Linked DNA regions of Bombyx mori. The main gene of each other region encodes a partner of the protein of the gene in region 3 in a complex. Links are inferred from orthologs where the notes say so. Each region holds a gene or a part of one and is shown on either strand. Other genes may lie near its edges.

What was found.
Region 1: RNA polymerase-associated protein CTR9 homolog (region 3) and parafibromin share a complex: the UniProt entries of both Caenorhabditis elegans proteins name them as parts of the PAF1 complex. The link is inferred for Bombyx mori from reciprocal best matches to the Caenorhabditis elegans genes ctr-9 and cdc-73.
Region 2: RNA polymerase-associated protein CTR9 homolog (region 3) and RNA polymerase II-associated factor 1 homolog share a complex: the UniProt entries of both Caenorhabditis elegans proteins name them as parts of the PAF1 complex. The link is inferred for Bombyx mori from reciprocal best matches to the Caenorhabditis elegans genes ctr-9 and pafo-1.

The regions. Positions count from the first base shown.
Region 1 is NC_085121.1:7,757,475-7,761,927, reverse strand, and holds the start of parafibromin, read left to right. Parts: upstream 1-1,565; 5' UTR 1,566-1,780; coding exon 1,781-1,911; intron 1,912-1,990; coding exon 1,991-2,096; intron 2,097-2,176; coding exon 2,177-2,296; intron 2,297-2,412; coding exon 2,413-2,558; intron 2,559-3,673; coding exon 3,674-3,899; intron 3,900-4,126; coding exon 4,127-4,298; intron 4,299-4,453. UniProt on the Caenorhabditis elegans protein: Component of the PAF1 complex which is a multifunctional complex involved in transcription initiation via genetic interactions with TATA-binding proteins, elongation and transcription-coupled histone modification.
Region 2 is NC_085120.1:5,060,629-5,063,985, forward strand, and holds part of RNA polymerase II-associated factor 1 homolog, read left to right. Parts: coding exon 1-61; intron 62-468; coding exon 469-651; intron 652-838; coding exon 839-909; intron 910-1,591; exon of another isoform or gene 1,592-2,009; coding exon 2,010-2,201; exon of another isoform or gene 2,202-2,295; intron 2,296-3,000; coding exon 3,001-3,139; intron 3,140-3,357. UniProt on the Caenorhabditis elegans protein: Component of the PAF1 complex which is a multifunctional complex involved in transcription initiation via genetic interactions with TATA-binding proteins, elongation and transcription-coupled histone modification.
Region 3 is NC_085129.1:3,976,543-3,980,941, forward strand, and holds the start of RNA polymerase-associated protein CTR9 homolog, read left to right. Parts: upstream 1-1,503; 5' UTR 1,504-1,711; coding exon 1,712-1,747; intron 1,748-1,827; coding exon 1,828-1,926; intron 1,927-2,764; coding exon 2,765-3,004; intron 3,005-3,078; coding exon 3,079-3,347; intron 3,348-4,125; coding exon 4,126-4,321; intron 4,322-4,399. UniProt on the Caenorhabditis elegans protein: Component of the PAF1 complex which is a multifunctional complex involved in transcription initiation via genetic interactions with TATA-binding proteins, elongation and transcription-coupled histone modification.

The DNA.
Region 1 (4,453 bases), on a different chromosome or scaffold from region 3:
CCTCCATAAGTGGTTGGAAAACTCGCCGAAATGGAAATGACATGAATTAGTAGTTTTAAACAGAGTGTGCTGGGTTAAAAATTGTAATATTTTTCGTGACTTGTGTAATTAAAAATATTATTATGCATTATACAAAACCTCAACTAAATACTATTTATTGTTACTACTATTTACATAGGAAGTGATTCCTTCCTTCTTAATTTAGTATTTTTTTTTTTAATTTTTAATGGCTTAGTTTGGTGGACGAGCTCACAGCCCACCTGGTGTTAAGTGGTTACTGGAGCCCATAGACATCCACAGCGTAAATGTGCCACCCACCTTGAGATATAAGTTCTAAGGTCTCAAGTATAGTTACAACGGCTGCCCCACCCTTCAGACCGAAACGCATTACTGCTTCACGGCAGAAATAAGCGGGGTGGTGGTACCCACCCGTGCGGACTCACAAGAGTAATTACCACCTAGAGAGTAAGTACCTACCACCAGTAATTACGCAAATTTATAATTTTGCGGGTTTGATTTTTATTACACTATGTTATTCCTTCACCGTGAAAGTCAATCGTGAACATTTGTTGAGTACGTATTTCATAAGAAAAATTGGTACCCACCTGAGATTCGAACACCGGTGTATCACTCAACACGAACGCACCGGACGTCTTATCCGTTAGGCCACCACGTCGATGACTTCAAAGTAAATTATACTATTATAGTATTTTAATACAATGATAGGTTTGTGGCACTGTTTTAAAATATTTCCAGTTGCTAGTATGGCGCTACCATAATTCATTCCCTTTCAGCTGACACATTTTCACATATTGAGATGGCACTCCTTACTTCTACCCTCCATAGTCGTGGCCGAAAGGATATGCATTCGTGTCTTGCGATGCACCGGTGTTCGAATCCTGCAGGCACCAGGCACCAATTTTTCTAATGAAATAATTACATAACAAATGCGTAATTACTAGTGGTAGGAAATCTTGTGAGTCCACACGAAACTTAAAAAAAAACTATTATTTGCCTATAAATTGCCTATAAAAAAATCCCTATTTTTGGCGTGAAGCAGTAATGCGTTTCGGTTTGAAGGATAGAGCAACCGTTGCACTGTAAAAACTAAGACCTAAGAACTCATATCTCAAGGTAGGTGGCAGCGTTTACGTTATAGATATCTATGGAGTCCAGTGACCACTTAACTTCAGGTGCGCCTTAAGCTCGTTCACCCACCTAAGTGGGTAAGCTAAAATTTGGACATTGGCGGGAACACGTGAAGCGTACTTCTGGTTTAAATGTGTAATAACGGTGGTTTATTAACTGTTTAGCATCTGTGAAAGTGCATAGATGTAAAATAATGAAACGAAGCAGCTTGTCGTAGCTTCTCGAGTTCTTTCAATAATTCCATTGAAAAATTCTTAGTAAATGACCACTGTTTTACTGACACTATATTTTGGCCTTATATAATTTCATTTCATTTGATTTCATTCCAAATTATTAATGGCTCAAATTAATCAACTTCATTTCATTTCCTTCCAAATAATTTTTAAAAAGACACATACGAAAGATAAGGCTGTATGGTTTGATACCTACGCCTTTTCAGCTAGAAAAATGGAACTACTATTTTAGAAATGTTCACCATGGATGTTCAATGTGTTTCGTTTTCTGTTTATCCCGGTTAGTTTTTTAGGCCGGGGTGTAAAGTTACTTACAGTATATTTAATAGAATTGGTGTCATTATTTTTACTTGACTAGTCCGAGAGAAAATAAACATAAAGTTGAGTGTGAAGTTATCATGGCGGACCCACTCAGTTTACTTCGTCAGTATAACGTAAATAAAAGAGAAATAATTGAACGCGATAACCAAATAATATTCGGTGAATTCTCTTGGCCAAAAAATGTTAAGACAAACTATCTTATTTGGAGGTAAGTACTTTGTGTTATTATTGGAAAATAAACTTTGAAAATGTTGAGCCTTATTGTACCCATTTATGCAATTTTTTAGATCTGGAAAGGAAGGCAGCGTTAAAGAGTATTACACCTTGGAATGCCTTCTTTTTATTCTCAAGAACATTCACCTGACTCATCCAGTATATGTCAGGCAGGCTGCTGTAAGTGAAGTTTAGTTATAAATAAAACATGTATGGTTGATGTTCCACATAACACATTATTGATCTCAAAAAAATTTTAGGCTGCAAATATACCACCTGTGCGTCGTCCAGATCGTAAAGAGCTATTAGCATATCTAAATGGAGAGACTGCTACTTGTGCCTCTATTGATAAAAGTGCACCCCTTGAAATTCCGACTCAAGTGAGTAAGAAAGTTTATAAATAACACTTTCACTAGACTAGACTGTAGGACCAATTAATGTGAATTTTATTCCCATTTATTGATTGAAGTTATTAAGTGATTAAACTACTACATAGGTGAAACGCACACTTGATAATGATGGAGGAGAATCTGCTGCAAAAAAACCTCGAATTGAGGAAACTCATGTTCAGAAGGTCCGAGAACAACTGGCAGCCAGGCTTGATGCCCCTAAGGAAGCTTCAGTCACAGTGGACAATATCAAGTAATTCATCCAATTTATAATAATATTAATTTTTTTAATTTTATATCACTTAGCTGAACCTACTATTATACAAAATATATCAGGTGTACATTCTCAATGAGTTAGTAGTTTCATCATGTGCAAAAATGTGCAATTCCTATTACTTTAATGGAAATGAGCTTTAACAATAAAGACAAATCAAATATGTATACATAATTTGTCCAATCATATTGTACTACGAATTTAGACTATAAAATTAGGGGCCAGAAGCTTTAATGGAATTAATTATGCCATTAGTTTGCAAACAGTATGAAGCATGAAAGAATAACATAAATATCTTAATAATTAATAAGATGCTATGAGGTCAGTTATCAGTAAAAACTAGTTTTATTTGTGGCCAGTGGCCACTGAACCATTTTGGTGATTTTGTTGCATTCAGCTAAAATAATCGACAAAAAAATAATAGGTTTACTTCAGGTTGTTTTAATTGTTTTTATCAGTCTTCTGTATGTTGAAAAATTACATTTGTTGTTCACGGAAGGTGGCCAAAGGTCCAAGTAGTGTGTAGTCTATTTGCCTTAACAGAACAGGAACTATGGTCGTTTTCTTGCAATTTTATGGGTCATTGTCATTGCCTCTAGGCATTTTTTATTATTAACAAAATGTAGTGTGATAACATAAATTCACCTAGACTTTGTGAATTATATCTAAGAACTGTATATCATCATTCATCATGAAGTACTCCAAATTCAGTGTTCCAAGATCTCTTAAAATTTGTACATGTATAGGTTTTATCACAATAAAACTCGTGTAGTTCTTTAATCATAAATATACTTAAGAAGACCAAGTCTAAAGTACCTTGTGGCTCTCGATGAAATTTAGAAAATGAATTTAAAAAAAATCTTTAGTTCTAAGCAAACAATTTGGGTATTTGTCTTTTTTTCTATATCAATAATCTTTAATTACCCCTTCTCTAATCTTTTTGATTTAAAAGATGATCCACACCACACAGTCACCACATCAAATATTCGATATCTAAATAGGTGTAAACATATGTATAAATATCAATATGTACAGAAAATAAATAAATTATAAGTGTTTTCTCTTCTAATTGAGTAATTGTTTCCAATTTTTAGATCCCTTTCTGAAGCTATGTCTGTAGAAAAAATTGCAGCAATCAAAGCAAAACGATTAGCTAAGAAAAGAACCACAATCAAAAGCAATGACTATTCTGATACATTGGGTGTAGTCGGTTCAGACTTAAGAGCCATTCTTGACTATGATGTGGATCTTACTAAAGATATCATCAGCCGAGAAAGGCAGTGGCGGACAAGAACAACAGTATTACAAAGTAATGGGAAAGTAAGTAGACAGCTAAGTATTTATAATTACAAAATATACATCTTTAAAATTCTCCACTTAGCACATGTGAGAAGTGTTGTAATTAGATACGTCTGCATAATACAAATTGATTACTCTTGAATTTTCATTACATTCATGCGTCATTATAGATCTATTATAAGACAATTTAATAATTGATGGTGTTATCTTTAAAATTATAATATATTAAATGAAATTGAATATTGTAGATGTTTGCTAAAAGCATATTAGCTCATTTGGCGAGCATCAAAGCTAGAGAAGAAGGTAGACCTGGGATTCCGAGAGCACAACCTGTTATTTTGCAACAGCCTACTGTATTACCTGCACAACAGACACAGTATAACAGATACGATCAGGAAAGATTTATACGTCAAAAGGAAGGTTTGTAGAGTATACAGAGTCTGTATTTTAGTTTTGTCTTTTCTGGCATGAAGTAGTCATGTGCGTTTTATGGATGGTAACTTATTGAATTGGTTATTGAAACAACTGCAAATTTGGCTTCCGATAGATCACTAATTAGGGTGTAGTAAGACATC
Region 2 (3,357 bases), on a different chromosome or scaffold from region 3:
AGAATACAACTGGAATGTTAAAAGCAAAGCCTCTAAAGGCTATGAAGAGAATTACTTTTTGGTGAGTCTGTGTGTTGGTTTTGGATAGCATTTGTGCTGTCTCTTGATAATTACTGGTTTACTAATTTACTGGTGGTAGGACTTCTTGTGAGTCTGCGCACCATCACCCGGCCTATTTCTGCATGAAGCAGTTATGCTTTTCGGTTTGAAGGGTGGGGCAGCCGTTGTAACTATACTTGAGCCTTAGAACTTATATCTCAAGGTGGGCGGCGCATTGCCGTCGTAGATGTGTATGGGCTCCAGTAACCATTTAACACCAGGTGGGCTGTGAGCTCGTCCACCCATTGAATTCAAAGAAATTCAATTTTAATTTATTTGAGACCACAGTCACATAGATTGGTGCATTGAGATTATATTTATTTCAAAATAACATTTCATACGTGTTTCTATACCTATGTTATGCAACAGGTGGTGCGTAATCACTGTGTTTACTACAATGAATTGGAAACGAGAGTTCGTCTGTCGAAACGTCGAGCCCGCGCTGGAGCAGCTGCACAAGCCCCGACTAGGCTGGTGGTCACGCATCGTCCTCTCAGTAGCACCGAACATCGTATGCTGAGACTTAGAGAGAAGCAACTTGAGCCTCCACAAGTAAGACACCTATAAACATACTAACATGCTTATACATACTAGCTTAAAAATATTAATTCATACCCACAGAAAGCTACACTGGCACTTATTCGCACCATGTGAGCGAAGTTGCAGCTATTTAATGATAAATCTCAATTAAATTATTCGAAAAGTTATCTGTCACTTGTATAAAATTTGTTTATAATAGGATGAAGACGAGGAGGAGGAGGAAGAAGAAGATGAAGAAGAAAAGCAGGAACAGAGCGGCGAGAAGGAAAGGTAATCATTTGAAACAGTTACAGTTTGTTCTTATAAATATGATGATAATGATGAACAAGCCTGTCTGAGTACCTGCAACCATTCTGCCTATTTCACGAACTCAAGTCATAAATACCAGTTTGAATAACGGGTCAACTGTCTTGTAATAAAACTGATACTTGAATCTCTTATACAATACTAGCTTCTACCCTTCTGCTTTGCTGGGCATTTGAAATTAACATTATTATTTCTCACCCCCACAAAGATTCTCATCGCCCCCGCAACTGGTGTAAGGAGTCCAACGCTTATATAGATATTGGCCTATCCATTAAGTACAATGACATGTATTTTCTACATGGATACCAAGTTTCAAGTCAATCGGATGCATGGTTCATATCAGTCATCTATTATCAAAGGTGGCAATCTGTGCATTTGGACAAAAAAATGTTATTGATATGTCAATACAGATTGATTTGAATATAATCGTCTCCTTCAAAGAATACGGTTCAAAACCTGCATTAAATAAAGGTTAATAGTTAACCTGTTATTTATCTAAGATGTCGTTCAGAAGAGTTTTGTGACTGCCAATGGAATACAAAGTCAATAATTCGTTTTTCTGATTTACCAATAATTGTCCAAAAGTTACATTGCCGGCTTTGATAATAGTCGACTCATATATTAGTATAGATTAAACCAATCTGAATTACCCATTCTTAAAAGCAGTGTTTTTATTAGAATTTCTATTATTAAAAATGTGATTTAATTACACATACACCATAAGATAGCATAGCCTGTTTAAATTCTAAGTTAACACGTTGACCGCCATGTAGGTCACTGGTGCCCTACGCGGCGCACTGAGGTAATTATGTCGATCTCTATTACTAAGCGCTAGGATTGCTTAATCTTGCCTTCTTTTGTTTTTAATATAATAATAATATGTTTTAGTATTTTAGAAATATATTCATTCTCAGTATCTTCGAATTCTTTCCCAGCGACTACGAGATGTTTCAGTGCCTTAGTAAGAAGATCGAAAAGAGAGAAATCGACATAATTACTTGAGTGCGCCACGCAGGGCACCGGTGACCTACATGGCAGTCAACGTGTTAATTTCACATCAATAGGTCTCGTTCGCGATCAAAATCGGGTTCGAAGTCTCCTCGTGGCTCCGAGAAGTCCAAAGGCTCGGGAAGGTCCAGGTCGCCGTCACGCGAGAAGTCGAAGTCGCGTTCGAGGTCAAGGAGTCGTTCTCGGTCCGCTTCCGGCTCTAGGAACTCGAGATCTCGTTCAGGATCGGCACGTTCTCGGTCACCGAGGTAAACAACATTTTATATATCGACGCTTGAAAGGCAAACGTGACTAAGCGGTATTGCGTGAACTTTACAGTAGACTAATTTAAAGTTGAAATACCTGAAAACAAAATTATATTTTAACGAATCTAGCTGTAGGATTGAAATGATTTTAATAGACCTAGAAATACATTTTTTTTTTGCTCATCGAATATAGTTATTGCCTATCATTTATGTACAAAGCAGTTATTGTCGCTTAGTCACGTTTGCCTTTCAAGCGTTGATATGCAACTAGTAATTTGAGGCCGTCAGCGCAAAAGTGGCCTAACCCACAATTAACATAATCATGTCTATAATTATATTGTATTGCAATTTATTTAAAATATAATAAATTTTGATGCAAAACCGGCCTATCAATAGTTTCACCCATAGATAACAGATGGCTTTGTAAATTAGATCTTTTGTTTTTGTAATCGGTATTTTAGATTTCAGTGTAGTGGTTTTTTTTTTTCATAAAATATCATATGAAGTTTTGAGTACCTATACAGTACATGTGGTTTTTTTTCATTGCTTAAGTAGTTAATGGGGCCCTTAGACATGGAAAACCTACACACGTGGGCTCACACCCTACTCCAAGCAATTACTCTATACATTTTTGTGAATTTGATATTTGTTTTACAATGTTAAAGTCATTTGGGAACACCCATTTTGAGATCTTTCTCATAAATTTTTTTTCATTCATGTCAGTAGAACGATTCAGTGATGGAGTGATGTGTAAAATGGCTCTTTCCCTTCGAATCACTTCAATTATTATTATTTTTTGCAGATCTGGTTCAGAGCGTTCTCGGTCACGTTCAAAGTCTGGCTCGAGGGCGTCTTCAAGAGCCAGTTCCAAGAGCGGGGCGGGTTCTCGCGCCAGTTCCGCTTCGAGAGGATCCCGTGCTACTTCTAAAGCTAGTGATAAAGTAAATGACATTATTTTTTCACGCTTTATATTAGCTTCACTTGTGGTGGTAGGACCTCTTGTGAGTCCGCATGGGTAGGTACCACCACCCTGCCTATTTATGTCGTGAAGCAGTAATGCCTTTCGGTTTGAGTGGGGCAGCCTTTGTAACTATACTTGAGACCTTAGAACTTATATCTCAAGGTGGGTGGCGCATTTACGCTGTAGATGTCTATGGGC
Region 3 (4,399 bases):
CGACCCTACAACAGCTTCTGAAAACTTACAATCACATCTAGATGACCTTCAGAAATGGTTTAATATGTGGCGCGTTAAAGTAAACCAAAGCAAATCATCCCACGTTACATTCAGCCTCAGGAAACAAACCTGTCCACCTGTAAGCTTATATAACGAAAACATACCGCAAGCGGAAGATGCAAAATATCTTGGCATACATCTGGATCGAAGACTGACATGGCAAAAGCACATCTGGTCTAAGCGAAAACAATTAGACATAAGGCTAAGAAATATGTACTGGTTGACTGGAGGGAAATCCCAGCTTTCGCCAACAAGTAAAATTTTAATTTACAAAACCATCTTAAAGCCAATATGGACATATGGCATACAGCTTTGGGGAACTGCCAGCAATAGCAACGTCGAGATCCTGGAAAGGTTTCAAAATAAAACTTTCAGAACAATGCTAAGAATACCGCATTACATAAGCAACAAGATCATACAAATGGACCTAAATATTCCCACAGTGAAAGAGGAAATAGTAGCTTACAGCAAAAAATATCAAGCCAGGTTATCGACACACGTCAATAAATTGGCGTCGGACCTAGGAGGCACAGGAGCTGTGCAGTTTACTAGATTAAGGAGGCACAGTATACCTACCTTACACAACAGAAATTAAATCTAACAATAAAAGATGAAGGTGTCACTGGATATCTGATTCTGTTTATAAATCTATTAAGAATAAATTCAGCCAGAGGAATAGCTCATTGTTAACTGAAAAACAGATCGCTACGAGACATTAAAACATAAGAGAAAAAAAAAAAAATTAATTAGAGAAGTTAATATTACGACGGATGCGATGCTATATAAAAAAAAAATTAAAAAAGTTAATCAAAAGAAAATCAATTTAATATGTATAATGTGTGTAGCGCCAATAGATATGCTGTACTTGACTTTTGATTTTCTTTTGGACTTGAGGACTGTATTCTGTTAAATTAAAAGATGTTTATTTTTTGAGATACCAGTTGGCATGTGTATTCTGAATTAGCAATTTTACAGTTTTATATGATGATGGGGTCAGGGAACAATATTTTTATCCAATAGCAACCGCACACGTTCCTAGCGTGATAGCGTCACACACAGCTCGATTATAATTGGTCGCGAAAATTTATACAATAATACCAATATAATAATACTAATGACAAAATACAGATACGATAATTTCACGGATCGAGATCCTCAGCATTGCAGATGCGTGAACAATGTCTAATGTACAAACTAATAAAACTGAAAAAAAAGATCTTCCGAGAACTAGCTTAGGCTAATATAAAAGTTAAAGACAGGTTTGTGTAAGTGAGAGAGATTTAAAGTGAGTGATATATGTATACTGAGCTAAATGATCAAGATGAAAAAATAAATTAATTGACAGACCAATCAATTGAATTGGATCACTGAGCTAGTGATCTAAATGGGCTAGTGAGCTAGATGAGTGATATATATCTTTAGAGTAAAATGATATATGTTCTATGATTATACTAATCTGTGCTCAACAGGATTATGTTGTAATATGTTGGCCTAAAGGTCTAGAAACCAGGCCACAAACTCCAAAAAAAAAAAAAAATTTTTAGTATGTTGTACATACACAAAAAACGCGATAAATATACGTTTTGGTAAATTTTAGTTAGCAAACTAGTGAATTTTGTATAATGAAGTAATTAAAAATAAAAAAATCAAGATGTCGCTGGAAATACCTTTAATGAGCACCGACGAGGTGAAATAAAAACTCTAATTCAGTTTGGCGTTTAAAAAGTGTTCGTGTAACATTTTTATATTAATATTTGATTTCTTTAGGTGATTGACCTGGATCCAGAACAATTACCTTCCGGCGATGAGGTGCTCAGTATTTTACAACAAGAACGCTCACAACTCAATGTTTGGATTAATGTTGCAGTGAGTTAACCTAACCTCGATATTATTCTATTATGGGAAAATAATCATAGCAGACGAAAAAAATTAAAACTTTATACCAATCACAACGTTGCAAATACATGAACTAATATAAAATGCAAGAAAATCTTTAATTAAAAAAGGTTTTTCAACTGTAAATGATCATTTAACAATTAGTTGAGTAAATATGTTTACAAAGAACTTTCACAAATTACTTTACCTTAAACTTATAATGTCAGTTTTAAATATAAACATTAACTGCAATTTTCTTCGTTCTTTTAGACTTACATCAAAATATGTTAAATATACAATCATAAAATAATTTCACACTTATGATACATAATTCGGAGTACACATTTTCATTATTTTTATTGCCTACAATTATCGTAATGGGGGTGTTAGATATTATGAAGCAAACACTGCCAACATGCTGACATGTGTGTCAGCAGTGTAAATGTCACAAAAAATTTGAAAGTATGACTACGTCATGGGAATAGGCAGCTTTGTGGTATCTTATGGGTAGACAATGCACCCTATGAATATATGAATAAATATGCAAATTCATAAAAATTATGGTTATCATATTAATAATTTTATTACACAATATAATTTCTTCGATATGTATTTGTATACATACATCAGGTGGAATTTGATATGATCTAATGTAGTTTGTTGTGGTTGAAATTAATAAAATAAATAATAAAAAGGAATTTGTACAATTTGAGTTTCGGGACATTCATATTTATTATTAACCTGTTATATAATAAGAAACAGTTGCTCTGCATCTTAAGTGTGACTGACTTTATGCTCCAGTTAAAAGTTTTCAACTTTTTATGTTTAGCTCGCATATTACAAACAAAAGAAAATCGATGACTTCCTCAAGATCCTGGAAGCATCACGTACAGATGCCAACATTGACTATCGGGATTTCGAAAGAGATCAGATGCGGGCTCTCGACATGTTGGCCGCATACTATGTGCAAGAAGCTAACAAAGAGAAGTCAAAAGATAAGAAAAAAGAACTATTTACAAAGGCAACATTATTGTACACTATGGCGGATAAAATTATTATGTATGATCAGGCAAGTGAAAAATAATGCATCAGTTAATCATTGCTAATTGTCGCTTTATTTTCTAATAATGTGAAATGTTCCAGAACCATCTTCTTGGTAGAGCATATTTCTGCTTATTGGAAGGTGACAAAATGGAACAGGCTGATGCTCAGTTCAACTTTGTCCTAAATCAATCCCCAAATAATGTGCCTTCATTGCTCGGTAAAGCTTGCATAGCTTTCAATCGTAAAGATTACAGAGGGGCACTTGCTTTTTATAAGAAAGCACTTAGAACAAATCCAGACAGCCCAGCCGCTTTGAGACTGGGTATGGGACATTGTTTTATGAAGCTGAATAATCAGGAGAAAGCCAGGTATCTATATCGTAATAATTATGGCTTGTCTGCAAATTCTGATTTTGGATACTGGAGGTCCTGGTCCATTACTGCTATTAAGAAACTGTTTCAGTTTGAATAGCAGAGTAACTTAATCCTTTGCACTTGAGATTTCGAAGTATTTGTTTATGTGTAACTTGTGATCCCATTCATGTCAAATATGTTAATTCACCAGCTTGGGCTTTTAGACATATTTGCATATCAATAGAAAACTGTGAATAAGCTTTAAACAAAAGTTTCAAATCCAATCATTTCCATTAAAAGTTAAAGAAATACCAAAGTGAAAAACAGAAAAAGTCCCTCCCTATGGCATATTGCAATGAGTATTTGGACATATAACCCAAGCAGGCGGTATGTCGTAAACTTATGTTGTGTCATGACATATCAACGCCCAATGCCGCATGATAAGCGGTCATGCCGTCCCAACCTGACATATATGGTATAAGAGGAAAAAGAAGTGTAATTTTGATCAAAAGTCATACAGTATATCTGTTGTAGTGTTTACTGGAGCCCATATCTTAAGACATGAGATTGAAATCTCTATTATATTGTATGAACAAAACTAGGGGTACTACATTGCATACAAAAAAAAAGAAGTACACACACATATATATATATATATATATATATAGTTTTAAAGCATTGTAGAAATGGTGACCTCTTGTAAAGCGCACCACCACCCCAAATGATGACCACGACCACTCTGTCAAGAGTGCAAAAGACTGAGAAGAAGAAATAATAAATATATTTATTGCAGGATGGCCTTTGAAAGAGCTTTACAATTAGATCCACAATGTGTAGGTGCTTTAGTGGGACTTTCCATTTTAAAATTAAATCTGCAGGAGAGTGAATCAAACAAAATAGCAGTTATTATGTTGTCTAAAGCCTATGCTATTGACCCAAAAAATCCTATGGTTCTAAATCATTTGGCCAATCATTTTTTTTTCAAAAAGGTGGGTTGTTTGCTGTTTGCAATAAACTATTTGTATAAGTAGTCTGTTTCCCAAGAACAAGATACTTTTGGAGTAGAC